Linked DNA regions of Ovis aries. The protein of the gene in region 7 interacts with the protein of the main gene of each other region in a pairwise test. Links are inferred from orthologs where the notes say so. Each region holds a gene or a part of one and is shown on either strand. Other genes may lie near its edges.

Region 1 (4,030 bases), on a different chromosome or scaffold from region 7:
TGGAAGGATCCAAGAGAAAAAAAAGTTCCATGGTTTGTGAAAAACTCTAGGTTAATCAAATGTGTCTTTACTGCAAGACTTTTCAGAGCCTTTAAAATTTTCAGCTGTGTTATGAACTCCCAAGAGGGGATGTAGTATGCTGTGTTCTCCAATATACTTATTGACAGGAATTCCCCCCATGCTTCCCCACCTCACTTTTTGTTCTTGGAGATTTCCTATGACAAGTACTTCACACTTCACCCTTTCATAAGTTCTGGGACAGGGAAAGACTGAAGCCATGGCACAGAACTCTATTCCCCACTGTAGACTTTTTCTTTGGTTCCTCAAAATGTGTCTGACATTCATACGCTTCTGAGATTACCTGAGAGGCAAATGAGTATTTTCTATTTAAAGCCAAATGTACAAAGGCAAGTAATTTTCTTAAAACTTGGAAATGTTTATCCCACCCTCTCAACCATCCCAATGAATCAACAAACTAGTTCGTGAGAGAAAGTTGCTGCTATTTTATATGCTTTTTAAAAATCAATGCTCAGTCATAATCAAATTAGAAAATGAATCACATTGCCAGATCTCTGTCTAGCCACCTAGGCTGGAAGCTGTTTGTCATCAGGTTCTCAGTAGCCCCCTCTCTGCTGCCCGGCTGGGACCTGGGCCTCCCGGGTCATCCGATCAAAGAAGTTGTTGGCAAGTGTTCTCACGTCATCTGTCCTGGAGGCCCTGGAGATCTTCTGGAATTCCTCGAAGGTTGCGTCTTTCTCTCGCAAGATCTGCTCCATCCTCTGCTCCTGTCTCCGAATGGCTTCCTTGATGCCCTCGATGTGGCATCTTTCCTCCTTCTCGGCTTTCAGTTTCAGGATGTGATGATTCTTCTCCCGTAGGATGTTGAGCTCCCGAATGTGGTGCGCCTTGTCCCTGACGTTCTTGTGGACCTGACTCCGGGTCTGCAGGATCTTCTGGTCCGCCAGCTCCTCCAGCAGCGACTTATGCTCCTCTCTCTGCTCCTGGGACTCTTCAGCCCACCTCTTCACCTGCTGGAACCGCTCCTCCTCCTTCTGGACTCTGTCCTTCAGCTCTCTGTGGGGCTCCTTCATCTGGCCCTCGGGCATCTCTTGGGACCATCGGGAGCTCTGTTCCAGGGACAGCTTCCTGAGGAGCTCCTCAGCCTTGGCCTGGCAGTCCATGAGGACCTTCCTGGCCTGGTAATTGACTAAAGAGCTGAGACTGGTCTCCTGGATCTTTTTCTGGCCCTTGGTGGGGTGAACGTGCTTCTTTAGACATGCCTGCGCCAGCCTCTTCTGTAGCTGCAGGCTGTTTCGCACCTGCAGGTCCCGCAGCATCCTCTCTGGCAGGCGTTGCCCCTGGCACTGCTTCTCCGGCTCCGCCTCGGGTTCGGAGGGGGCCCCCTCCAGCTTCTCCTGGCGCTGCTTCTCCTGGTCCTCCAGCGGTGCCTTCCACCCGCTGCTCTCCTGCTGGACCGTGCTGGTGGCTCGTCTGTCCCGCCGCCGGACTCGCAGCTCCCGGTTCAGACGAGCCTTGCGCTGCCCCTTGTCCTGCTGCCACTGCTCCTGGCTCTGCTGCAGTAGCAGCTTGCGCTCCCTCTCCAGGGTCAACTGGACCTTCTGGTCGGAGCGCTTCAGCTCCTCCCAGGCCAGGGCCGCCTGCTGCTGCAGCTCCCGCATCCTCTGGGCCTTTTTGAGCCGGCTCAGCACCAGGGCCACGATCTTCTGGTCCCTGGAGGATATTACTGCCTCTTCCAACTTGTTCTTGAGGACCTGGGTGTGCTGCTTCTGCATCTCCTTGCTGGAAACTAGGGACTGGGAAAGCTGGCTGGTTAATGACTCCACCGGATCGTTGCTGTGTCTTTTCTGGATGTGCAGGCAACCCGACTGCGTCCCAAACTCTCTGGAGGACACAGAAGACTTCTCCGTGTGGACTGAGGAAAGGGACCAGGGACGTAGACCCCTGCCGACCGGCACTGCCCACTGGTCTCCGCTCTGCGCCTTTTCGTCCTCAAAGGCTCGGTTCGCGGGAGTGTAAGCTCCCTGCGGGTAAGGAGGGGGCGAATCTCCCCGGGCGGGAGGGTAGTGCTGGCCGTGCTGAGGCTGGGGCTCCAGCTGCCAGGCCGGGCTGTGCCGGCTGCCTCCCTGCTCCTGGGGCTTGGTCCTTGTCTCCCCCCAGACATCCTCCAGGCGCCGGCTGCGGGGTCGGGGCTTCCTGACACGGTCTAGTAATCTCCGGGTCACGTCGGTCAGGCTGCGACTTTCTTGCGGCGAGTCGGAGTACGGGCGCCGGCTGGGCCGAGGGGTGGCTGAGCAGAGCAGGTGAGGCCAGGGCGCGGTGGCCTCGCTCTCCTCGCCTGGTGTCCGGGCCCAGGAGCACAGGCCCGATTCGGTCCGCGGTCCCGACCCGTCCAGCTGAGCCAAGGATGCGCTCTCCTCGCTGGGCGGCGGAGGCTCCCACAGGGCCGAGTGGGGCCGCGGGGAGAAGCGGCCGAAGTCCTCCATTCTCCTTCCTGCACGCCCAGCGTCTGAATCCGGGTCCCGGGTCTCGGCGGGGGCGCTGCTGAGACCCGCCCCGCCCTCCGATCCCGGGGTCCTGGCCGCCTGTGACGCTCAGGCCACTTCACAATGCTCCCGGCGCCACCTGGCTGCTGCAGCCCTCAGCCCTCGCCCACCTTGGCCTTCCTAGCACCCCGCGCAGCGAGAGGCGGGAAGGCGGCTGGAGCCTGGGAGAGGGCGTATGGTAGAGGGGGCTGTAGAAAGTTCGGGGCACCCTAAAGATGAGGGTGCGTAGTGAACCCCCACCTGTGTTGCAGGCAGGAATTTGAACTCGCATTTGTACATCTTAAACTAGCAGAATTTTAAAAGGATAGAATGTGGCCTGGAAGTGTGGGGTGGGGAGTCCTTTAGTCACAGGTCCCTACCACAGTGCACCTCTGCAGTGTAGGCAAAGTCGAGGCTCGTTAATTTATATGCACCATCCTTTTGCCCTTATAACTTAGCATGCTCAAGGATAGTTTTTTAAACTTTTAGAGGACAGAAAACAAAACACAATAGTTTGTTTCCTCCTAATACAGCAATTACTGCTTTTGTCAAAATAGGAATGTTAGGTGCATATTTCTGAAATAGCATTGGTGGACACCATGGCAAATCACTTTATTGTTTTCCTTTTTCTCCAGTTTTATGAGATGACTTTTTCGGGTTGAGGCATTCAGAGCTCATGGGAAGAGCACTAGATTTGGTCATGTAGACTTGAGCTTGACTCTCCTCTGCCACTTTCCACTTGTGTGGTCTTGGCCAAGTTGATAACTTTCCTGACCCTCAAGTTCTGGAACAGATGACTGGAAGAGGGGCCATGACAATACCACTGTAGGGCTGCCATAAGGTAGATGAAACTATGCCTCAAGAGCCTAGCACCTTAATACAGTCAATTAATATCATTTTGATGTCCTTCTAGCCTTCAGCTACAAATTGTAAGATTTAATACAGAAAATACATTTAATACATTGTAAGATTTTTACATATGAACATGTTCCATTCCAATAGTGTATTCCTAAATCCAGTTTGTCATGAGTCCAACAAGGTTAGCCTAGGTACCCAACTAACACAGTCAGCTATATAGTACTGTAAGGTGGTAGGTTTATAATACATTTCACACAAATAATACATACAAAACATACACAAAAAAATAAAACATTTTTAATCTTACAGTACAGTACCATGAAAAGTGCAGTAGTACAGTACAGCATCTGGCACACAGGGGCCAGCATCAAGTGAACAGGCAAGAAGAGTTATTGACTAGAGGAGGGAGAGGAGGTGGGAGATGAGATGGGAGAGCTGAAGAATCATCAGCAACAGGAGACGGAGGGCAAGGTGCAATTTCACTCTCGCCTGACATTGGTGTTCTAAGTTTGGTTCCCTGCTGGAACCAGATGCACATTCTCATCTTTGAAAGTTCAAAACTTAAAGGTTTGTATGTAGGGGACTTACTATATATGGGTTTACGAAAGTTTCTACAGATTCCTAGCTTA
Region 2 (4,104 bases), on a different chromosome or scaffold from region 7:
CTTTAACTTTCACCTTTCAGAATCAGAGCATCACCGGGATGGGGAACTGCAGGTGACGCTTCAGAAGCAAGTTCTGGCAGCAGCGGAAATGCTGAACCCAAAGTGCGTGAGGCAGGGTTGACGTCTTGGGGGCAGAAGCCTCATCTCTGCAAGTGCAAGTGGCCTTAGGGGAGGGCAGGTACGGAAAAGCCCCCACCCCAGGAAGGACAGCGGGCAGTGACTGACACACGGGGCTCACGGCATTCACATAGAGCACTGTCTACACAGCATCCACCCGCAGCTCCATCCACAGCCCCTGGGGAACAGACCAGCAGCGGAGACAGACTGGGGGAAAGGGCGGCTCTGTACCGCAGGGATGACAGGTCCAAGCTCTCACAGCTTCAATCTTGTGCGGTTTCCCCCAAACATGCTTTTTTTTTTTTTTTGTATTAAAGGTAATTAGTGGACCTTCAGGGAAAGACACTGGCTTCCCCCTATCCTCAACGAAAACTTGGGGATCCCGCTGACAAGAATCTTGCGGGGCGAGGTTGCTGAAATACAAGCACTGCATGGGACGCTGAGGCTGGGGCCCGCCAGTGGGAACCTCAAACACAGCGCCGGCGGCCCGGGAGGCCAGCCCTGCCTCTGCCGGGCTGGGTGTCACTTCACATACCCGCGCTGGCTTTCCTCACCGTAAAAGGAGCCTGAACTGTGACTCTGTAACCTGAGGTCTGTGCCACACCATCCAGCGGGGACTTACGGAGGCAAGTGGAGGCAGGGTGGAGGAAGCAGAAAGGAGGAAGTCAACTGGCCAGGATTTCCCCTATTTTACCCCCTGACAATCAGTGCTGCGGCTGAGTCGGGCACACTGAGTGCAGCGGGCTGCCCCCATTCAAGACCCAGTAAAAAGGACAGCTGGGCTAACTCAGTTTCTTCCTGTGCAATACTTTTCGTAAAAGACAAAAATGACCAGCAACACGTCCACGTCTGCTACTTTTTCCAAAAATAAATTTCTAATGGGTCACAGTTGTCTCCCAGGACTCCCATAGGTGTGGCCTGGCTCTCATACTTGCTCATACTTGTCCTCTAAACAACGATTCTTTTTTTTAGAGGACTTTTTGTATTTTTAATGTCTCTGAGACCTTACCCGAAAGGACATTGCAGTGGTAAAGAATCTGTCTGCCAATGCAGGAAATGCAAGAGAGCTGGGTTTGATCCCTGGATCTGGAAGATCCCCTGGAGAGGGAAATGGCAAGGCACTCCAGTATCCTTGTCCAGAAAATTCCCTGGATAGAGAAGTCTAGGGGGGCTACAGTCCATGGGGTCACAAAGAGTCTGACACAATTGAGCACCAAAAAAAAAAAAAGCCTAATTAATCATAAAAATATTGTGATATGGACATTATAACTTTAATGGTAAGAATATCATTTGAATTATAATTCTTTTCAAACAGCCAGCTTTCAGTTATCTCATTCAACTTTGCCTTATTAGTCTACCCGCACAAAGGTTCTCTTTGAAGATAAAATGAATTGGTGGCAGGGGGGCGACATCAATTTGGTAAATTCTGTAAAGATGATATAACACTCTTCAGAAATTTGAAATCACCGCACACGGGTTTATCTAGAAATTTCACTCACGCCAGATCTACGCCCGCATTGATTCCACTTACTTCTTCACTGAAAAAAAAAATAAAAAACCTGTATCCAAGTCATTGTTTCTCTTAAGCAGGCACCCAACAAAGCTTTTAGGGTTGAGCGGACTCAAGTTTAGAAAGAAAGGGGCGCTCCGTCGCCTCTTTCCTGTGACTCTTGGGGAGAGAAAGACACTCTGAGCGAACCTGCAGTGACTCCCCGGTGCCCCGGGCGCCACCCCAAGGGCGCCCTCGCGAACCCCAGGGCGGGGGAAGGTCACCGCGCGGCCGCCTGCAGCCACCGTCTGGGCCCGCCTTCCGGGGGCGGCGCGCCCACCGCGGCCCCGCGCGGCCCCCCAGCGCAGCCCGCGCCCACGGGATCCGGGACTGCCCTGGGCGTCCGGGGCGCGCGCGCCTGGCGCACCGCCTTCCCCGCCCGCGACCCCCAGGCGCTCCCTCCCCGGCAGCCCCGGGCGCTCCTCCGACGAACGCGGCCCGGAGCTGCCCGCGCGCCCCTCACCGCGACCACCGGCCCGCTCTCTGCGCCGCCGCTCTCCTGCCGGCGCGGCGACACCGGACACCCGACACCGGACACCGGGCCGCTCGCAGCTGAGCCCGCAGGGCGGAGGAGCGCGGGACCGCCACCCGCGGGGAGACCCCGCGCTGGCAGCCCCTCCCGCCTCCCGCCCGCGCCGGGCCGGGCCGCCGTGGCCGGGGGGCGCCGAGGGCGAGGCGGGCGCGGCCGGCTGCACAGACGCGCGGCCGAGACGCGGGCGAGGGCCTCCCCCCGGCCCGCTGCCAGCCCCCCGGCCCGCTGCCAGCCCCCCAGCCCGCCCGCACCTGCGGCCGCCGGCGCGTCCCTCCGTGCTCCCCGCGGGCCGGGCGGGGTCCTGCCGGGCGTCCCAGCAGGTTGGGGCCCGGGGCCGGGAGCCCTTCTCAGCTCCGCCGGAGGAGCCTGTGCTCCAGTGTCTCCGAGCTCACTTTTTTTCTTTTGTTGACCTTAAGTCAATTATCAAACTCCTCCCGGGCGCTGGTCCGCAAGGGTGTGGCTTCGTAGGAGGCCTGGACCCGGAGGAGAAAGGCTGGGAAGATGGAGACTGGAGACGGTCGGTCAGGGGGTTTGGGGGGAGAGAAAATGAAAGAAGTGCGGAGAAGGGGAGAAGGCGAGAGGGTGAAGGCCGGCGCTGAACTGCGCGCGGGGACAGCACAGGTCTGGGTGGCGCCCGGGGGGAGGAGCCGGCCAGAGAAGGAAATCTGGGAGGACAGCTCATTGGAGGCAGAGTGGCCTCGTCCGGTGGCATTTTGCATTCAGAGGACCGTTCAGCATGTGTGGAGCAAGGAGCCTGCTGTCCTGACCACACCCTGCCCCAACCTGGTCGCAGGTGTCAGGGAGAAAAGGGTAAAAACAGCGAGTGTAGACCTGTCTACACAGCCTACCTGACTTGCTCCTTTCAAAAATGAAACCTTCCCATTTCTAGCCTCTCGGGACCTCGGAAGATACTGGAGAGGTAGAACCTGGGGGCGGAAGTCAGGCCTCTCGAGTAGCTATTTGAGAGCTAGTCTAAGGATCCTAATCAGGGCAGAATTTCTGGTTGGGTTTGGTTCCCACTGCTTATTAACTTATGGCCTGTCGCGTATTTCTGGCTGGAGTGTCATTTAACCTGGCTAGCTGCTGGTGCCGGCTCAGGGAACCCTAACACTCCGTGGTGAAGCCGTTGAAGAACGACAAAGTCAGCTTAACACAGTCCCCAGAGGCATTTAATGAGCGCTTGCTGGTCACCATGCCGGTCATGGTGAAGCCAGACACGCAGGGAGCAGACAGCCGGCCCCATTGGAGGCAGCACTACCTTGTACAGGAGCCGCATGTATGTTTCTGCCTCCTTGAAATCATGAACTTGTTGCCAGGACTGATCCCACATCAGTGACTCTGTGACTTAACTATGAGGCTCTCATCTGCCTTTGGGCCACGTTCCGGGTTGGAAACATCTCCCCACCCAATGATCCAGGATGTGTTGTGGGAGGGTGCCCGCCTTCACGTGCCTGTCAAGTGAGGTCTGGGCCACCACGCCTTGCCAGGGGATGGTGCTGAGCCTCACCCTGCTGGCCACTGGCAAGTCAGGGACACTTATGAGGTGTATCACCAGCTGTCTTGTTCTTGAAGTTCTGTTAAAAGCCCTTACGAGCTTCCCGGTATCCTCAGATCTTCCCAGGGAGCTTGGACTAGGTCTCCTAGTACAAATGAAACCAAAGTCTCATCTCTTGCTTGGACTAGATTCAAAATCAAGTATTTCCTAACTTCTATCTTTCTTGCCATCTTTTCAAAAAGTACACAATTTCATTTTAGTTTTATAAAGGGTTACTGCTGGTGATCCCAGAAGTCGTTCTTAAGCACAGCTTACAATAACCTGAGGGAGGTTTAAAGTTTGCCCCTTTGTTCCCCTCACCGCCCCCAACCCAGCAGTTATTTTGTTGAGATTGGGATGGAGCACAGACCA
Region 3 (4,051 bases), on a different chromosome or scaffold from region 7:
TCGAGGAATTGAGCTTCCACATCTTTACTGATGGAGGTTAAACAATTTGAGGGGTGTCATTTATCCTAACACAATTTTGCCACCCCCAGGGAACATTTGGCAACGTCTGGAGACATTTTCAGTTACCACGACTGGGGCAAGAGTGCCACAGGCATCTAGCGGATTGAAGCCAGGGATGCTGCTAAATATCCTACAATGCACAGGGCAGGCCTCCAGAATCACCCAGCCCTAAATGCCAATAGCGTTGAGGTTGAGAAGCCCTGGCTTAAAGCGCTAGTCACTTTTTTCTGGGGTCTTTGCACCCAAAGCTGTTCCATCCCGCACTCCGATCTTCTGACTGCTGAGACCTCGGTCTTCCGGACTCCTCCAAGAAGCCATTTTTTTCTTTTTTTAAAGAAACCATTTCTGATGCCGCCAGGCAGGGCTCTTCCAGCCCCCTCGCCCACCCCCCACCCCCCATGCTGGGTTAAAATCGTCCTGATCCCTCGGGGTTCTCAATCTTCCGTTTTTCAGCGCAAATTCCCTGGAACCCCTAGACAGACCGATTCTGCAAGACTGTGAGGAACCAGGAATCCGTATTTTTAACGAGCATCTTCTCCCCACCACAACTGCCTGCTTCTTAATATCTTGCACATAGTAGGTGGCCCAGTGACTAGTTGAATGTCTACAGCATGGCAGGCGCTACTAAATACTCGACCTGGGGATCTCGAATCCTGCACCTGCGCGCGCGCGCGCACAGGCATGAGCGCGCGCGAGCACACACACCCGTCCCCAGGATGTAGCCACTATCATCATCCCCACTTTACAGCGAAGTAAACTGAGGTTCAGAGAGAAGACATAGCCGGATAAGACACTCAGAGCGAGACAGGGGTCTAGATCCTCATTAGCGCCTGATTCCGGGTGGAGGGAGGGGACCGAGCGATGAACAGGGGAGCGCGAACAGGCGGGGGCACGGAGACTCGCCGCGGCCTTCAGATGCGGCCCCGCCCCCACGAGGGACGTGAAGACGCGGACCCCGCGCAGCGTGGGGACATGTGACCGACTGCAGAGGCCGCGCCGCTTCCCCCGCCCGAGTTCTGCGCGCTCCGCCGCAGGGTGCAGATCCGGGGCGCCCGCCTGGGTTTGGGGCGCAAGAGCAGAGGCGGAGCCAGGGCGGAGCCAGCCCTCCCCGTCCACCCCCCCGTTCCCAAACGAAAGCGAAACGGAGCGCAGGAAAGGAAGGGCGGAGCCGGCCTGGAGGCCCCGCCCCCTGCCCTGCGCGGCCGGACCGACGGGCGCGCCCAGGTAGGGGGCCGCCGAGCGCGCAGTGCGGACCCTCGCGGGGACCTACGCCGCCACCATGTCTCAAGAAGGTGTGGAGGTAGGAGATGGCTACAACTGGGCCGGTGGCCCGCGAGAGATGCTGAGGAGGAGCTAGGGGCACGGAGCGGGCTTCGCAGTTGCTGGGGACTCCATCCAAGCCCAGACCTTCCCCCCAAGGCTGGCACTCGTCTCCCTCGGAAAGGAGAGTGACCGCCACATGCCCCGGAGCAAAATGCGGCCTCCTCGAGGGAAAGCGGGGGCTGCTGGGTCAAGGGTCAGAGGCCAGGGGTCATCTGGCCGGCCTCATCCCTTAGCCTGGGACGCTCGCCCTAGTCCGCTCCCTCCCCCAGTACTCTGTGGGGACTTTGGCTTTTTCCAGGAAATGCAGTAGAGGGATGGGGGGGGGGGGTGCGAAGGCCAAAACCCGGGGTCAAGTTCGGGCCGTGAAAAAAGGAAGCCTAGGGATGGAGGAAGGGCAATTGCGCTTTTCCTTCCCCCACCGGTCCCCTACCCCAGCTGGAGAAAAGCGTCCGGCGCCTCCGGGAGAAGTTTCATGGAAAGGTATCCTCCAAGAAGGCAGGGACTCTGATGAGGAAATTTGGCAGCGACCACACTGGAGTGGGGCGCTCCATCGTGTATGGTGAGCAGGTGGGGGTCCTGCCTGGTGAGAGTTAAGCTGGGGAGCAGGGAGGGGGTGTGGTCTGTGCTGGGGGCTGGAAGAGGCGATGAGATCATCTCTTTGGGGGGCGGTCTGGATCGGGGTTCTGGGGGCCCTGAAATTCCCACAAAACCTTTCAAGGGGCCTTCACTTACACTTACTCTCCCCACCAGGGGTAAAGCAGAAGGATGGACAGGAACTGAGTAATGATCTGGACACCCAGGTAAACTGCCCCCTCCCCTCAAAACACGTGGTAAGGGAAGGAAGAAGGGAAGGGTCAGGCTCATCCCTGGCAGAGCTCTTTCTGTGCACTGTCCATCCACAACTCATGGTCTAGCCTCATTCACTTACCTCTCAGTTATGGATCTGACCAAGGAGCCTGCAAACCATAGGTGCTCATTACATGCTGATTGTATGAAATGGAGAGAGACAAGAAACTAGGCAGTGAAAAGAATCCGGATTATCATCATTACAGAGGAGCCAAAGAGGTCAGGGAAGGCTTCCTGGAGGAGGTGGTACCACATTCTTCAAGCCTAGGGAGGAGTGATCCCTGGGAAGGGGAGGGGTTGGAGATCTTCCTGGAAGAGAGGGTGACCTGAGCAGAGGAACTTGCAGACAGGTTGGGACGAGTAAGAGATAGGGGAGGAAAGAGGGGCAGGGAAGCCCATGTAAATGAATGACTAAAGCAATGAATGAATGAGAGCCTTTGTATGGCCACTTTGCCCCTTAGATGGCCTTGGTAGCTGGTGCACTGGTTTGCCTGTCTGAAAGGGCCCAGCACAGAGCTGTTAAAGAGTATAATAAAGTATGTTTTATACTTGTAACATTTATATATTTACAGTTATACATATAATGAGTATAATAAAACTAGCAAAGAGTATCATTGATTGAGCACTTTCCCTGCAACAGGACTCCAGGAATTCTGTTGACTTATTGCCACAGGTCCTGTGAGACAAGTCCTATTATTTATCATATCCACTTGACAGATGAGGAAACTGAGACACAGGGTGATGAAGTCACTCACCAGGCTCATGCTGAATGCAGGTGGTGACTGGGATTTGAACCCAGGTCACCTAGAGTCAGAACCTGGACTCCTAGATGTCCTTCATTAGGGAGAGTGGCTTGGCCACGACCCCACAGCTGGAAGTGATGAGGCCAGGATTCCAACCTGTGGCTCTCTGAATCCAGAGCTCAAGCACTTAGCCTAAAGCAGCATAGCCTCAAACAGGTGACCTGTCACAATGCCAGCAAGTGTGTGGCATTTGCCAGCATGAAGGGAGCATGGGGCCCAGGCCTGTTGCCCACACTCACTCAGGGTAATCTCAGGCAAGCCCTCTCAGAGCTCTGGGCCTCAGTTTCCCCATCTGAGCAATGAGGATCACAGGTGTGCCCACCTCTCAGGGTTGCTATGAGGACAACTGAGGTCACACACCCTTGCCCTCAGGAAGTGGAAACTGCTCAATTAACTCCTCTTGAGTTGGGGACACCTTACTCATATGGGGCCAGAACCCTGCCTCCCCATCCAGAAGCCCTGCCCCCAGAAAAGAGGCATGAGCCACCTCCCCAGTTTCTACCCCTGATGTTTCCACCCAGGACCCCCCAGAGGACATGAAGCAGGACCAGGACATCCAGGTGAGTCCAGGGTGTGGGATGGGGAGGTGGAGCGGTGTGCACACCCCTGGGGGTATCCATACGTGAGAAGGAGGGACAGGATAGGGGTTTGGAAGAGAAGAGGACTGACCGCCCTCTTGGCCCCGCCCACCCCATTCTGCAGGCGGTGGCGACATCCCTCCTGCCACTGACAGAAGACAATCTACGCATGTTCCAGCGTGCCCAGGAAGACCTCATCCCTGCCGTGGACCGGCAGTTCGCCTGCTCCTCCTGTGACCATGTCTGGTGGCGCCGCGTGCCCCAGCGGAAAGAGGTGATAACCCAATCCCTGACCTTGGTTCTGTCCCGGCTCTGCTCCCAACCCCCATTCTGTGTCCAAACCAACTGACCTAAGAACATCAGCCTCTGAGACCCCAACCCCGGACACCTGCAGCCTCAGAGATCAACCCCAATCTCAGCCCCAACGCTGACCTACTGAGC
Region 4 (4,059 bases), on a different chromosome or scaffold from region 7:
GACAAGTGTGTGTGAAGCTGTCTCTAAGCAGAGTGGCTGGGTTGCACAACTCCAGGGGGCAGCATTCACTGTGTCTTCTGTATAAATGGTTTCCCTGGAGGAAACCTCCAGGAGACCTTGCAAGGCAACAATATTTAGATAGGCTTATTGCACAGATGTTTTTCAACAAAGTGCAGGAGAGTCTTGTTTCCTATAACTTATTTCTCCTTTTAGCTGCCAAGTAGGGGACTCAGGTTCTTATCTGGGTCTGTATTGGAAGAAAAAGATCATACTATGAGCATGCTGACTGCAGATATAATTTAATCAACTCATGAATCTTATCAGAGGTTTCATGGATGGGGAAACAGGCTGAGAGAGGTTAGGGGACTTGCCCAGGCACACTCACAGTCCAGTCTGTGTGCAGCAGAGCTGGGGCTTGAATGCCTCTCTATGGCATTCCCCAACGGCCCTGACTGCCACCACACTTCCCAGGCCTGGAAAGCATCCATGGTTCCTGCAGACCCTGAATGGTCTGCACTGGCAATGGAACAGTGTCGCCTAGGGTAGGGGTCTTCAGAACCAAAAGGTGGAATTCAGCCACGGTAGGGGTGGGAAGTTCCTGGGCTGCCACGTCCGCCTTTCTGCCAAATAAAATAAAAGAGAGCCAGGTGTGGAGGCTCCCTACTGTGAGCTTTGCACAGCTGGACTAAGGCTGGGAAGAGGAGTGTGGGGAGAGACGCTTCCATCTCCTCCCCCTTCCTGGAAAATAACTCTGCATTTGAAGGGAGAAAGAAAGAGTGAGTAAATTTGTAACTGGGATTTGGTGGCCTGGGGATTTCATTTGGCCCTGTGAAGGCAGATTTCTGTGCCTCTGTGTGTGTGCGTGTGCGTGTACGTGTGTGTGTGTGTGTGTATGTAGGAGTGTGTCTATTGAGGGGAGAGAACTTGAGGTAACGTGTATGATTTTTTTGGACTGGACTTTTATTTTTTAAGTCATAGCAGCTACCGTTGGAATCTAGTATGTGGTGCCAGGCATTGGTATTATTTTCACGTGAAGTAAAAGAACAACAGTTTAATAGTTTGTTTTTCTGTGGGTACGCTCCGAGCCCTCGAGTATTTTTTCCATTTGGGTTTAAATACTACGCTCTACAATGTGATAAGATTGGGGAGAGGCGGGGTAGTATGCCAGGACTGGCAGGGGGCGGTCCCTGCCTCGCTTGTCTCCGCCTTTCATTTTGACCAGTCCGATGGCGACAGGCTCGCACTAGGACCCAGGCGCCAGAGCGCCTCCGTCTGTCCTGTAGGTTCATTCAATCTCCCATACACACAGACCCACAGCGAGACCGACACACACTCACACACACTCAAACACACAACAGCACGCAGCGAGGCTCGGGAAGTCAGGTCGCCTTCTTGCCTCGGCGCCTTCTTCGCTCCAGCCAGCCGGCTTTCCCCCGGGGCCCGGAGCTTGGCCGGGCCGCGCAGCCCCGAAAGAGGACGAGCTCGGCGGACCCCGCGGTCCCTCCATGGGCAAACGCGGGCGGCCGCGCAAGGAGGCGCGCTGCGAGGGCGCGGGGCTGGCCCCCGCCGCGCCCCCGGCCGTGACCGCGCCCCAGCCCCCGGCCCAGCCGGAGGAGCCCGCGGGGGCCAAGCTCAGGTGCCCCTTCTCGGACATTTTCAACACCAGCGAGAACTCGATGGAGAAGCACATCAACACTTTTCTGCAGAACGTGCAGATTCTGCTCGAGGCCGCCAGCTACCTGGAGCAGATCGAGAAAGAAAACAAAAGTAAGTTTGGGGGCCCTGGCTCCTCTTCGGCGCCGGGCTCTTTCTTCCTCGCCCACTTGGGCGACCCCTGACGCCTGCTTAGCCCCCCTCTCCCCAACACACTCACATCTAGCCCTCGGCAGTAAAGCCGATGACACCGGAGAAAGGACACGCACGCACAAAGCTGCTAAAGATGTAACAAAGACGAGCAGGGGGTAGGCGGGGGGGTGGGGGGGGGGGGGGGGGGTGCTGTCGGTGCGTCAGTCTGTCCGTCTCCGGGAGGGTGGGAGAACCGCTGGGCCGAGGAGCGGGGGAGTGTTGTTGTTTGCTGACAACTGAGCCGAGAGCTCATCTCTTCGAGGTCGCGTTTCTTACTTTTTTTTTTTTTTTCCTCTCTCCTTTTTTTTTTTTCCCCCGGAGCCTTCTCGGGCAGACAAGTGTTGTTTTTCCGTCGCTCGTTCCTGGGTGGGGTGGGGATTACAAGACGAAAGTTGGAAACTGTAGGCAGAGCTCGGCGGTTCCAGAAAGAAAACACATAGACACACGACAACGATAACAACAAGCAAACAGCCCTCCACGGCGTGGGCTCCGGCTGGCTCGGCTCTGCTTCTTCCTCCTGTCTACTTTGCCTTTTCCTCTCTTCTCGCTGCAAGGCTGGGCTCAGGCCATCGCGTCCACGGAGACAGTGCCCCTGCGCCTCTGCTGCCCTAGGTGCCCCTGCCCCCGACTCCCCCCACCCCCAAAGAAACAGGCCGGCAAAACCAAGCACCGCCAGCAGCTCGCCCGGGACCCGCGGTGCTGCGCCCGGGAAACTTGGCGAGGGGGACTCAGCGAGAAGGAAACTTTGGGATCTCGCAGGAAACAATAGTTGTGGAAGAAGGTGTGGGCTGTTATGTGCTGTTTCTTTATTTTCCGGGATACGGCTCCCGAGTGAGCGCGCTGGGCGAGGAAGGCAGATGCCTTCCTGGTGGCTTTCTACTGCTCCCCCAACCCCCACCCCAGATTCAGGTGGAGAGAGATGGTTGCGGGCGGGGGTGGGGGGGGCGGGCTGGGAGCCCCACCCCGGCCTGGCCTCCTTTTTCATATTTGTTTGTTTCATTTTTGCCTGGGTCCCCCAATCCTCCCCACGCCGTCGCCTCAGCGCCCTAACGGGGGCACGCGAGTGCGGCGTCTCCAGCACGGTTCTCACAAATAATAGCTGCGAGGAGGAAGGGGCCGAGGCGGACAGGCCACAGACTAGAGAAAAGCTAGCTGTTTAATCTGTCCGAGCAAGTAGGAAGATCAATGAGATGAGAGAAAAAGAGGGGGGGGGGGTGAGAGAAAGAAAGGGAGAAAAATGGTCCGATTGCAACGTGTCAAGTCTTGCAACCTAACCCCCCCAAACACAACAACAACCCTCAAACACAAAAACACCCTAGATGACCGACACCCCAGGCCTTCGGGGTTAAAGTAACCGCGTGATGGCAGCGAAATCGTGCAGTAGCTTAAGGCAAAAACAAGGATTTGTGTTGGGAGGTTGGTGGTGCGTTCTTTTCTTTTCTTCTGTCCCTGTTTTCTCGGGGTGCCTGGGTTACGAGAAAGGCGCATCGCCGGCGGTTGCAGCCGAATCAGTTTGCGATTATTCCGGGTGTCGGGTGGGGGGCAGTATGCCTTCGCCTGTAGGGTCAGAGCTGGTGGGGAGGTGGGTGAAGACATGGTTTTGTTTGGTGTGTTTGCTTTTGTTGGAGGGGGAGGGGCGTGATTTCTTACTCTAACCACCCCCCCCCGCCCGGGTCCCCCATTCCCCCGAGTCTGTCCCGTGGCGCCGGCTTTGGCGGGGGGGTGCACCCAAAAAGGGCACCTTGGCAGTGAGTGGCAAACCTGGTTTGCCCCCGCCCGGTCCCCTCTACAGAGGGGTGTACGAGAAGCTGCTGGAGCTTCCTCCGCGTCCCGCGTCCCCCGCCCCTCGCACTCGCAGACAATCGGAGACCTCTGTTCCCCACCTCGCCGCCCCCACCCTCGCTCCCCGACCGCCTCGGCCGCCGCCACCTCCTTGTTTACCCGGTGCCGGGGCTCCGGCGTGGCCACCAGTCACGTAAGCAAAGGGCCGGGCGCGCCGGGCCGGACTGCCCCGCACGGGGCGGGCCAGAGGTAGTGGAGCCGGGCTCCGGGGACCGTGCAAGCCAAGGGGCTTCCTCCCGGTCCCCTTACGGAGGCATCCGCGCTGCCACCCCCCGAGAGGGGCTTGGGAACCTGGGCGCCCTCAACTTCGAGTGCATAATCAGCCCCTCGGCCCGGTTGCCCTCCTCCTCCGGCCGGCTCCCCGCTGGAGTA
Region 5 (2,889 bases), on a different chromosome or scaffold from region 7:
CCTGGGAAGCCCCCAATGGTGACACTAATGTGGGGAAACCAGAATTCTGGTGGGAGGGCATTTTATGGACAGTAATTTCACATGCTTCAGATTGAGAGCTTTAAATATTTAATTAATTCTACTTCTTGTAATCTTAATCATTCATGCAAAGATCTATATACAAGTGTTCCATGGAATCATTACCTATAATATGGCAAAGACTGAAAATAGTTTAAACAATCAATAATGATTTTGAAGAATTTTTAGAAAAAAGTTCATGTTAGATGAGAAATACCAGGAAAAATGCTAAACTTGCAAAATATCAAATATTATTATTACACATTTACTATGTAACTATAAAACTCAAAAATACTCCAAAATATTGATAGTAGCTAATACTGAATGAGAGACAGGACCTATCCTCCTCCATTTCTTAGATTATCTTCACTTACACTGTACTACTTGACTATCTGAATCAGAACCCTCCCATCTAAGAACAAATGCAAGAATTTTGAAGGTGCTACAGTTGAAAATAAACTCATCATAGGTCAATTTTATTTTCAGTAGTTAAGAAACATTTAAGTACCAAACAATGCAAGTGGACCTTGAGCACCCAAGGGCCATTATAGCCAAAAGATGAGGCCCCCATAATAGGCAACTAGTGCAGGAATCACTGCCCTAGGAAGGATGCACTGTCTAGGAAGGGCCACCAGATCAGACCCCCCTTTCCCCAGCCCTGGCTTAGCGAGCAACAGGGGGCCCAAAGCGCTGCATGGTTCGCATCACCAGAGAAAGCTGGTCCAGAAAGTTGACAATGGAGATTCGAAGGAGGCGGCAATCTTCAGCTCTCCAGCAGCTGAAAATGACAGAAAAAGAGAATCAAGGTGGAGATGGGTTGAATCAAGGGCACTGCGTCACCTCCATAAACACAGCCCTTGAGTATGTCCAAACAGAGCGCCCCCGGCGAGAGACAAGCTTGGTCACCTGCTACCACTTCCAACCAGCCCCTTTTCCAACTTACACAGCCAGGACATTGCCGCTCACTGTGAGCTCCTTCCCAACCGCCCCACGGTGAGGTTCGGTATCTGGGGCCAGTGACCCATGGGCAATCTCTGCCTCCAACGCGGACGGGAAAGGCACGCTTAGGGTGCTGATGGAGATGCGGTTAAGGTACCACCCACAAGGATTTGGAGCTCTGGGTCCTGTCTCAGGACCGCTTCCAGCCCCTCCGGGCCGCTCGTAGCCCTAATCCAGCCCAGCCACCCCACTGCCCCGAGATCCCATTTCTCCCCCCGACCCACGCCACCCAGGCCCATCCCAGCTTCCAGTCTCCCTTCAGCTCTCTATTCTCTACCCGCCCCAGGCGCCCTGGCCATTCCACCCCCCAGCAGCCCCTGACCCGCCGGTCCGTTTGTCCCACCTCCCACCGCAGGCATCCCCCAGCCCAATCCGCACTGCCCCTCGAGTAGGATACAATACGCATGGTCGGCTTCCCGGCTTTTGGGAAGAGTGCTGGGCCGGCGCGACACCCGGAGCTCCGTGGTCTGCAGCGGAAGCAGCACCCGCGCTGCCGGGGCTGCCCCGGCCACCCCCGAACCCCCGCCGGCCCTGGCTTTCGGCGCCACCCGCCAGGATGCCTGCGCCTACGTCCCCACCTGTCTCCTGCATGGCTGCCGTGCTCCGCCTCCAACCCCACCCACTGGCTCCAGGACTCTCCGTCGCCCACCCGCTACGCGAGCAGCTTAAAAACTGCTGCTTCTTCCTGAAGCGCCGCCCCCGCCCCGCGCGCCGCCCCCGCCCCGCGCGCCGCCCCCGCCCCGCGCGCCGCCCCCGCCCCGCGCGCCGCCCCCGCCCCGCGCGCCGCCCCCGCCCCGCGCGCCGACCCCGCCCCGCGCGCCGACCCCGCCCCGCGCGCCGACCCCGCCCCGCGCGCCGACCCCGCCCCGCGCGCCGACCCCGCCCCGCGCGCCGACCCCGCCCCGCGCGCCGACCCCGCCCCGCGCGCCGACCCCGCCCCGCGCGCCGACCCCGCCCCGCGCGCCGACCCCGCCCCGCGCGCCGACCCCGCCCCGCGCGCTTGCGCAAACAGGTCTGGTGGAGCCGGCCGGCCGAGGGGAATCTCCGTTGGCCGCAGAGAAATGAATCTCCCTTCCTCAGTTCGGGGCTTCCCTTGTAGCTCAGTGGGTAAAGAATCTACCTGCCATGCAAGAGATCCGGGTTTGATCCCTGGGTCAGGAAGATCCCCTGGAGAAGGAAATAGCAACACACTCCAGTATTCCTGCCTGGAGAACCCCATGGACAGAGGAGCCTGGGGGCTACAGTCCGTGAGGTCGCAAGAGTTGGACACGACTTACTGACTAAACCACAGAGTCGGCCACGACTGAGCGACTAACTCTTTCTTTCCCACAGCTCGGGCCTTTCACAAACTGTATGACTCGATTTTAACTTCCCTTTTCTGTTCTGCAAGTTTTTGACAGTAACCTTATACGGCATTTTTAATCAAAAATAAGTTTTTAAAGTGACATGAAATTTCTGATGGTGATAGCCCTGTTAGTTTTCTGTTTTCCTCCTTTGTAATCAGAAGGAAGGGCATAAAGGTGAAGTAGGTTATCAAAGCCTGTTGGATCACCCCTCGAAATCCATCCTGAATCAGCCTACCCTCTCCCCCTTCATTGCTAGTCTCCACCGGTGGCCACCCTATCTCCCTGAACTTGATATATATATTTCACATATAATTTAATTGTTTTTGGCTGTGCTGGGTCTTCCTTCCTGTGAGGGTTTTTGTCTAGTTGCAGCAAGCGGGCTTATTGCAGTGCCTTCTCTTGTTGGCAGAGCTCAGGCTGTAGGGCGCGTGGGCTCTAGAGCACAGTCTCAGTAGTTGTGGTACTTGGCTTAGTGGTTCCCAGGCAT
Region 6 (4,214 bases), on a different chromosome or scaffold from region 7:
TTAATATTCTGTCAAGATACTCCCTGCTCTGTATCTAGATGACTTCCTCCTGGCTTTGCTCCCCTCCATATGATGAGATGATGAAGGACGGGACCCATGCCTGCTGGACGAGAAGAATCGGAGTGGTACCAGGTTTCCACTGCAGACTACGTGACGGCCCTAAAGTAGAAGTAATCACAGGATGCCATTCTTGTGCTGTTTAGTGTCTGTCTCCCACTGTGAGCCCCATCCCTGAAGGCAAGGGCCTCCTTATATATTTTGATATTTCCAGTTCTTAACGCTTTGGTAAACACTTGATTAAAAAAGATGCTCAATAAAAAGTGTGATGCATTCAATTAAGTGGCTCACTTCTCTTCCTCCAACTTGAATATTCAGTTGTAGTTCAGAATCAGTGGGTACCAGGGCTTCTGGGGACAGTTACAGGAATTTGACATAAGCATTTATTTCAATCCCCTGCGGAGAATCAGGTGGCATGGACACATACTACTTTGCTACAAAGAATTAGTGGAGAGAAACTTCTTCAAGAGAGGAGAAAGGCAAGGGATGAAGTTCATTCAGCCCAGAAATATCTACTGAACATCAATTGTGTTTCCCACACAATTCAAGGTGCTGGGCAAAGAAAGAGGAAAAAAAGCACAGGCCTTGATCTGAAAGAATTTAATGTAGTTAAAAAAACAGCAGGGACTTTAATATACTAGGAACTCACAGCAAAACTTGAGAATATGGGTATAAGCTATATGATCAAAATTAAAGCTCCTATTAAGAGAATTAAGAAAATCAAGGGGAAAACTCAATATTTCACCATCAATTCAGCTTAAGATAATGTTGCACTTGGCTGCAAAGAAGGACATTTTCTTAATTTCACAAATGAAAGAACTCAGACCTAAGTAGTTATACTACCCACACAAGATCGTGTTACTAGTTTCAAGCAGAGAGGTGCTCACACACAGTTCTTTTGATGCTCAAACCACTGGGACGTGTGAAGAAGTTTGGCCAAAGGCAGTGGTTCTCATTCTGAGAAAGCCAGATCAGCAGCGCCAGCACCAGAGGACTTGTTAGAAATGCAAATGATCAAGACCCAGCTCTGACTTACAGACAGTATCTCTGGGGGTGGCTCCAGTAACCTGTGGGCCTTCCAGGGGATGCCGATACTTGCTAAGTCTGAGGACCAGTACCAAAAGCAAAGGAAGGAAATCTAAGGTACGACTTTTCCAGTGCTGCCCAAATGTAAAGGCAGAAAAGTGTCTAGGACCATTATATGTTTTACGCCTCTGCCAAATAATTGGAAAAATAATGTTGTAAACCTGTAACTTACCTCATCTGTATAGTTTATAATGCTCAAGAGTCCCTCATTTAGTAGTAAACCTTGATATGCCCTTGAAATGACTGTCTACTGACGTATATACAGAGAGAGTGCAAAAGTGGTAGAGCAGAAGAAAGGAGGAAAGCCTAGGAATCCCAGGTGTTTGGTCCTAGGAAAAGTTCCCATCCTCCCTGCACCCCTGGCAACCTTCTTACACCGGACGGTAAAAGCACAAAGTTACCCAAGAAAAATGCCTGCAATCCCTAACAGCTCCCCTGTCATGTATCTCCCACTAACAAGCCTCCCATGGCTGCTTCACACTTCCTAAGTGGCTTTCTGGCTCAAGGCCCATAGAGCAGCTTGGAAGAGAAGTTGGAGGGATGAGCGACTCCACTAGCTTTCCTTGTGGCTTCTGAGTGAGGCTACCCTGGGTGTCACCAGCAGAATGTGGACAGACAAAAAGCAACAGTTCTAAGTCTAGCCTCTAAGTAGACCCTGGATGTGCTAAGATGTGAGAGCACCCCAGGACCAAGGCAGGCAGGGTTATCAAAGTGACCAGGAGAAAAGAACATCCGTGTCCAGAAAAATTAAAACCTGGCTGACAACTTTCCGAGAAAATGAAGCAAATCCATGGCAGACAAAGTAACAAACTTTTAGTGAAACCAGACAAAAAGCCGGGCCCGGGTAGCGATGGTGTCGAGAAGTGCCAAAACTAGCTGCTAGGGGTTGAGGAAGGGACGTTGCAAGTTGCAAGTGAAGACAGCAGTCGCTAGCTTGAAAGAAGATTCGGATCGGTCATGGTGAGCTGAAAAGGCACAGACCAGATGGTCTCCAAAGCCTCCGATGATCACGGGTAATAAAATCACGGGTGAGTGTATCTACGTGTGTTGCAGCGGAGTTAGTGGTTGGCAAGTGATGGGACTCGCCAGGACAGGGAGCCTTCGGGAGGACTGCTCTAACCAGGTGAGAAGCGGGGTGAGAAAACACCGAGCCGCTGGAGAAAACAGTTCAGGCCGCCGGAACTGAAGGGGCCTCGACCACTCCTCCCTCGGTTTCAGGGGGAAGGGGGGCCGCTGGCGCGGAAGCAACGGGAGGTACGAACTAACTGCGTTTCTGCAGGCCTCAGGAGGGGGCGGAGGGCGGTGGCTGCAAAGAAAGAAGCATGTATCGCCATCCACATCTCCGGAGGCTCTAGCTTCGGCCTCCAAGACACATGGGGACCACCACGCCTCGGCCCCCTCCACGCACTGCCGCCACCCCTTCCCCAGGACAGTACGATTCCCCCGGGGCTCCAGGGGGGCGGGGTCTCCGACCCCTCCCCCTCCTCGCCGCTTAGCCCCGCTCAGCCCGCTCCGGCCCGGCCCGGCCCAGCCCCCAGCACTCACGGCTCCAACAGCTCCGGCGGCTCCTCCCCTGCCCCGGCTTCTCCCCCACCCACTCCCGGCAGAGGCAGCGCCGCCGGATCCGAGCCGCGCGGGGCCCGGCGGGTCGGAACACGTGGGGCTTTTGCGCCCGGAACCGGAAACTGCCCTTCGCTCCGCCCCCTCGCCGCCCTGGGGCCTTTCTAGGCTCTGGGAGGATTGCTTGTTTCTCTGTGCCCCCTGGTTCTAGGAGGCTCACCGGGACGCGAATCCGAGTCAAGGGCTTCAGATAGATCGCTTCTGTCCAGCTCTCCTGCCCCGCTCTGCAGGGGGACGGGCTATGGGGTTGTGGTGGGAGTGCATTTACACTCGTGCCCTTGCAGCGGGGGGTGTGTGGGGGGAACTCTTTTTTCTTTTTTCTGTTTCAGCTGTTTTGTTCGTTTTAATTTTGATACCTATATCTTTACCTGTTTTTCTTGGTCCCCTCCCCCCCCTTTCTTTGCATTATCAGGGACACATGGTAGAAAAGAGCAGTTTGGGGGTTGACTACTGCCTCTTGTAGCTGCCATCAGTTGTAGGGATTCGGACAAATCCACTTCTGAACCTCAGTGTCCATCTTCTTTAATGGGCCAAGTAATACTGTTACTGTAAGGGCTAAATAATATCTTGCATGTGAACTGATTGGAGCTTAGTAGAAGCTTGCTGGTCTGCTGCTTAGTGGCTTCAGTCTTGCCCAGCTCTTTACTACCCTGGAGAACTGTAGCCCTCAAGGCTCCTCTGTCAATGGAATTTTCCAGGCAAGAATACTGGAGTGGGTTTCAGTTTCCTACTCCTTTTGTGTGTATGCACATGTGTGTGTGTGTTCGTGTTGGAGTCATCAGTTTGCCATTTTCTCCTAGTGGTGGGGCCAGTGTGAGGAAAGCAGGAGAGACTCCCGTCCTGAAACCTGTCATCCATCTTAAAGCAAGATGTAAACTGGGCCTGAACCCTGCCCAAGAGTGAGGAGACTGTTGCCAATGAAAATCATATCTCCTGGAGACTTCCCTTCCTACAGATGGCAAACGCATATTGTAGTTCAGGTCAGGCTGCCCCTCTTAGATTAACCATGAAGACATCCCCCCTTGATGTAAAATCATTGTCCCCCCTACCCCCCTCACACATAGGGTTTAACCTTAATTGTTTATTCTCCTAGCACCTACTGTAAAACTCAGTCATATACAACAAAGAGGTTGCTAACATGTAACCAGTCCTGTGGGGGCCAGGGGGCGTGGTGTAAAACTGGGCCTCAGAAACATCAGGGTCCTTGTTGGGAGCTGATTCCCCTTGGACCTGCTGGCATAATAAACTGTACTCCACTGTCTTGAGTGTCCTCTGAGGTGTGTTTTGTGACTTTGGATTCCACAACATTAGCAAGGGGTCTTGGACATCTGTTCATAGTACATATATTTCATCCTTATTCCTTCTGTCTTTCTGCATGACATTCCACAGTCTGAATAGCCATTCGCCTAGTAATAATATATGTTGTTTATAATTGTTATCATGGACAGTGT
Region 7 (4,035 bases):
TTCAGATTCGTACCTTTTACAGCAAAAGAGATACAGCCAATGCTTACTCTGCTGGACACTGAGAAAAGTGCTGAGCCCTACAGCTGAGGGACACATGACATCAAGGAACCCACATGCCATAATTTCTTCTACATCCAAATCATGAAAAATTCAAGCTTTGTGAGCATTCTTAGCTTGAAAAAATATTATAAAGGGAATCCTTGTGATGTGTGCATGTAGGTATGTGAGAGAAGAAGCGGAAGAGCCTACCATATGTTAAGTTCGAATTCAGATCTGGTCTTACTCTAGCTTGTACTTGCTTCTAAGTCCACAATACAAGCAGCTCATACAGCTCAATATCAGAGAAACAAATAGTCCAGTCAAACAAAATGCGCAGACTTAAACAGACATTTTTCCAAATAAGACATACAAATGGCCAATAAACACATGAAAAGATACTCTACATCTCTCATTATTAGAAAAATGTAAGTCAAAACTACAATGAGGCATCACTTCACACCAATCAGAATGGCTATCATCGAAAAAATGATAAGCAATAAATGCTGGAGAGGATATGCAGAAAACGGAACCTATGGCACTGTTGGTGGGAATATAAATTGGTATGGCTGCTATGGAGAACAGTATGGAGATTCCTTAACAAACTAGGAATAAAGCCCCCATATGACCCAGCAATCCCACTACCAGGTATACACTCTGAGAAAACCACAGTTCAAAAAGACAGATGCACGCCAGTGTTCATGGCAGCACTATTTACTGCGACTAGGACATGGAAGCAACCTTGACTTCCATTGACAGATGAGTGGATAAAGATACATACATTGATACACACATACATAAAGATACATACATGTACATGCATGTATGTAAAGATACATACATACATTGAGATAATACGTACAAATGGAATATTACCCAACCATAAAAAGGAAAAAAATGAGTCAGTTGTAGTGAGATGGATAAACCAATAGCCTATTATACAGAGGGAATCATTAATAAGTCAGAAAGAGAAAAACAAATACTGTATATTAATGCATATATATATATGGAATCTAAAAAAATAGTACTGATGAACCTATTTACAGAGAGGAAATGGAGATGCAGATGTAGAGAATGGTCTGGTGGACACAGCAAGGGGAAGGAAAGGGTAGGACAAGCTGAGAAAGTGACTTTGACATATACGTACTATCATGGGGAAAATAAATAGCTCATGGGAAGCTGCTGTATAACACAGGGAGCCCAGCCTTGTGCTCTGCGGTGACCTAGAGGGGTGGAATTGAGGCAAGAGAGGCTCAAGATAAAGGGGATATATATATATATTATATATATTATATATATATATAATTATGATTGGTTCATGTTGACATATGGCAGAGACTACCACAAGATTGTAAAGCAATTTCTTGCAAGGAAAAAAAAGTTCAAATTAAACTTACTTTGACCTAAAGTCATCAGCAGCCAGTTTGCAGTTGTCAAGCTGTACAGCAAGTCTACAATTTTCTGCCTTCGTACACAAGATCTGGGAAGAAAGTTACTATGTCATGAATGGTTCTTTGAAAGAAACCCACATATCTACTCATTTAATAACTATGCCAGGGTTTATCTTTTAAAAGTCTTTATAAGAAAATATAGGCCTTCAGCCTGCTTTTACTGACCATATCATTTCATGAAGGAAAAAGGAGGGCCAATTTATAAACAAAATAGAGAAATAAAAAGGTTGTTGTTTTTTTTTTAATGACTTAAAAACATTTTTGCAGTATTCCTTGGCCACTGAACTTAGGTAGATTTCTCTCTAGGAGTTTATATTATGACTACATCTCCACCCATGATAATAAAAATTTATCAGTAAGAAAAAGACATAATTACCAGGTAAAATTATATGGTTAAAAGATGACATTTCCATATCTATGTTAAATAATGTACTTGTACAGTGTTACACGCAGAAATAATTTTAGATATCACACTGCTTTTCCTCAAGGTAAATTTAGGGATAAGCGGGTTTATTGTGGTCATTTAGTAATTAGCGGCAGCATACAGGCTAGCGCTGATGTTTACTGACTTTTTCCCCCTCTATTCTTTTGGGCCATGCCGCATGGCACGTGGGGTCTTAGTCCCCCACCAGGGATGGAACCTAAGCCCGCTGCAGTGGAAGCACAGTGTCTGAACCATTGGACCACCGGTCACCCTGTTTGCTGGCTTTTTGTCCAGTACCCTTGCCTCTACATCACATTCCCCCTGGGAAGCCCCTCCCCTTTCCCTGGTTTCCCTCCACAGAACAGACTCTTGTAGTAGTAGAAACATAAAGCACATCACAGAGTGGGAAGGTGGAACATTAGGGTGATGGGATACTAGACCTTTTGCTGGAGATCTTCAATGGTGTCGAAGTAACACTGATAATCAGGGCACACCAACGGGACATCCTCTTCACTCTGTTCCCGGATCCTGCATTCCAACTCAGCATTCAACTCCTCCAGCCCGCGCACCTTCTCCAGATAGCTGGCGAGCCTGTCATTCAGGAACTGCATCGTCTCCTTCTCGTTACTGTTGAATGCACCGTCCTCACACCAGGCACAGTTCCCCAGCACGCCCGGAATATTACAGCTCCCCGCAAAGCAGGACGGTGGGAGGCACCCAGTTGGCAGACGAGACCCGGATAGAAAGCTGGGGGTCTGGCAGCTGGATGTAGCACAGGCGCTGGGGAGACAAGTGGTTGCCGCGGAACAGGTTGAGGCAAGCGCACAATCAGAAGCCCTGGCACTGGATTCAGAAGAGCAGCCCGTGGGGGAACAGTCAGAAGCCATTCTATCAGAAGTGAAGGGCAAAGACTAGTTGCAAAACTCCAACTGCCCGCCTCCAAAACTCTCATTCCCTCCCGAGACTTTTATATATACCCCACTTCAAATGGGTATTTACAGACTACACAGGATGTTTTCCGGTGCATTTTTCATATGAACATTCATTAGTGTTGTTTATTTGCTGAAGAAGAGTTTTATGCTTCGTAAAAGAGCCATAACTTCAGGTTTCTAAATAAAGACACCATCTCCATGTGCCAATAGGATAAAGCACTTGTTTCAGAAAATCTTCACAGGAAGCATTGTCCTTTTGACAGAATAAGGAAAGAAAGAGAAAATTTGGGCAATCAGTAATTATAGATACAACTGATTACACATAAAGGAAATCATATCCCTACAGATTTTGATCCTGTGCATTGAAAACTGCTCGTCTTCTTTTGAAATTAATGTTACAACTCATTTAAATGCTATTTATTTGTTTGTGCCCCCACCATAAAAGTGTTCTGTGTGATTAGCCATCTTCAATGCTTTTTGTGGTCTTGCTGTGCTCACATGGTGGAGGACTGAGTGTATACTGAATTTGAAGTGTGTGTGTGAGAACCATACATGCCCATGTGCAAACTGAAAAGTCACTTTACATAACTGATGGGCATCACTTTTGCCCTACATGCCAAAATATAAATTGGTTATCAAAACGTGGAGTTGTAATCTTTGATTTCCTGAAACTTGCCTTCTCTACTTTTCCTATGCTTCACTTTTATATCAGAGATACTGATTTTTCATCTGTATCTCTAATAAGAATGAAATATGAATTCTGTTATAATTTTTTAGTCTCAGGAAGCTAAACCTTCGTTAACTACACTTCAGTATAGAAGGAAGAAAGTTACAAAAGGCATTTCTTCTGGGACATGGAAGCTGTTTTCTCAGATTTACTAATTTATTTAATTTTGAAGGCCTCAATTTCATGAAAATTAAATATGCTGGAACTTGGGAATAAAAGTCTTTTGTATGAGTTCCAGCAATTCCATTGGATGAACTCCCTGGGGCAGTACTGAATGGATAGGGATCTGAGATGTAAGTTTTCTGGGTTCTTTCTTAAGTTTTATCTCCAATTTTCAGTTTTCTTGCCTTTGATTGTGGTATTTATTTCATTTTAAAAAGTGTACAGAGAAAATTGTCTGCAGAATGTTAAAGATCTTTATGGGGTGGGTAGCCCATTACTCCGACAAAGTTAAAATTTTCATGA

Evidence for each region.
Region 1: the proteins of KRT40 (region 7) and CCDC185 interact in binary tests that used the Homo sapiens proteins (3 or more experiments, as listed by UniProt). The two-hybrid records come from large-scale screens. The link is inferred for Ovis aries from reciprocal best matches to the Homo sapiens genes KRT40 and CCDC185.
Region 2: the proteins of KRT40 (region 7) and SH2D4A interact in binary tests that used the Homo sapiens proteins (3 or more experiments, as listed by UniProt). The two-hybrid records come from large-scale screens. The link is inferred for Ovis aries from reciprocal best matches to the Homo sapiens genes KRT40 and SH2D4A.
Region 3: the proteins of KRT40 (region 7) and SHFL interact in binary tests that used the Homo sapiens proteins (3 or more experiments, as listed by UniProt). The two-hybrid records come from large-scale screens. The link is inferred for Ovis aries from reciprocal best matches to the Homo sapiens genes KRT40 and SHFL.
Region 4: the proteins of KRT40 (region 7) and MXI1 interact in binary tests that used the Homo sapiens proteins (3 or more experiments, as listed by UniProt). The two-hybrid records come from large-scale screens. The link is inferred for Ovis aries from reciprocal best matches to the Homo sapiens genes KRT40 and MXI1.
Region 5: the proteins of KRT40 (region 7) and LAGE3 interact in binary tests that used the Homo sapiens proteins (3 or more experiments, as listed by UniProt). The two-hybrid records come from large-scale screens. The link is inferred for Ovis aries from reciprocal best matches to the Homo sapiens genes KRT40 and LAGE3.
Region 6: the proteins of KRT40 (region 7) and ZNF202 interact in binary tests that used the Homo sapiens proteins (3 or more experiments, as listed by UniProt). The two-hybrid records come from large-scale screens. The link is inferred for Ovis aries from reciprocal best matches to the Homo sapiens genes KRT40 and ZNF202.

The regions. Positions count from the first base shown.
Region 1 is NC_056065.1:26,076,934-26,080,963, reverse strand, and holds CCDC185 (coiled-coil domain-containing protein 185), read right to left. Parts: upstream 2,564-4,030; 5' UTR 2,505-2,563; coding exon 615-2,504; 3' UTR 501-614; downstream 1-500.
Region 2 is NC_056079.1:37,635,031-37,639,134, forward strand, and holds the start of SH2D4A (SH2 domain-containing protein 4A), read right to left. Parts: upstream 2,801-4,104; 5' UTR 2,450-2,800; intron 2,189-2,449; exon of another isoform or gene 2,130-2,188; intron 1-2,129. UniProt on the Homo sapiens protein: Inhibits estrogen-induced cell proliferation by competing with PLCG for binding to ESR1, blocking the effect of estrogen on PLCG and repressing estrogen-induced proliferation. May play a role in T-cell development and function.
Region 3 is NC_056058.1:12,503,755-12,507,805, forward strand, and holds the start of SHFL (shiftless antiviral inhibitor of ribosomal frameshifting protein), read left to right. Parts: upstream 1-1,251; 5' UTR 1,252-1,339; coding exon 1,340-1,360; intron 1,361-1,818; coding exon 1,819-1,942; intron 1,943-2,133; coding exon 2,134-2,183; intron 2,184-3,553; coding exon 3,554-3,592; intron 3,593-3,734; coding exon 3,735-3,884; intron 3,885-4,051.
Region 4 is NC_056075.1:30,309,417-30,313,475, forward strand, and holds the start of MXI1 (max-interacting protein 1), read left to right. Parts: upstream 1-1,259; 5' UTR 1,260-1,505; coding exon 1,506-1,767; intron 1,768-3,380; exon of another isoform or gene 3,381-4,059. UniProt on the Homo sapiens protein: Transcriptional repressor. MXI1 binds with MAX to form a sequence-specific DNA-binding protein complex which recognizes the core sequence 5'-CAC[GA]TG-3'. MXI1 thus antagonizes MYC transcriptional activity by competing for MAX.
Region 5 is NC_056080.1:79,963,787-79,966,675, reverse strand, and holds LAGE3 (EKC/KEOPS complex subunit LAGE3), read right to left. Parts: upstream 1,695-2,889; 5' UTR 1,648-1,694; coding exon 1,454-1,647; intron 1,130-1,453; coding exon 1,001-1,129; intron 836-1,000; coding exon 721-835; 3' UTR 501-720; downstream 1-500. UniProt on the Homo sapiens protein: Component of the EKC/KEOPS complex that is required for the formation of a threonylcarbamoyl group on adenosine at position 37 (t(6)A37) in tRNAs that read codons beginning with adenine.
Region 6 is NC_056068.1:34,082,025-34,086,238, forward strand, and holds the start of ZNF202 (zinc finger protein 202), read right to left. Parts: upstream 2,801-4,214; 5' UTR 2,689-2,800; intron 2,450-2,688; 5' UTR 1-2,449. UniProt on the Homo sapiens protein: Transcriptional repressor that binds to elements found predominantly in genes that participate in lipid metabolism.
Region 7 is NC_056064.1:40,929,765-40,933,799, forward strand, and holds the start of KRT40 (keratin, type I cytoskeletal 40), read right to left. Parts: upstream 2,801-4,035; 5' UTR 2,799-2,800; coding exon 2,352-2,798; intron 1,517-2,351; coding exon 1,434-1,516; intron 14-1,433; coding exon 1-13. UniProt on the Homo sapiens protein: May play a role in late hair differentiation.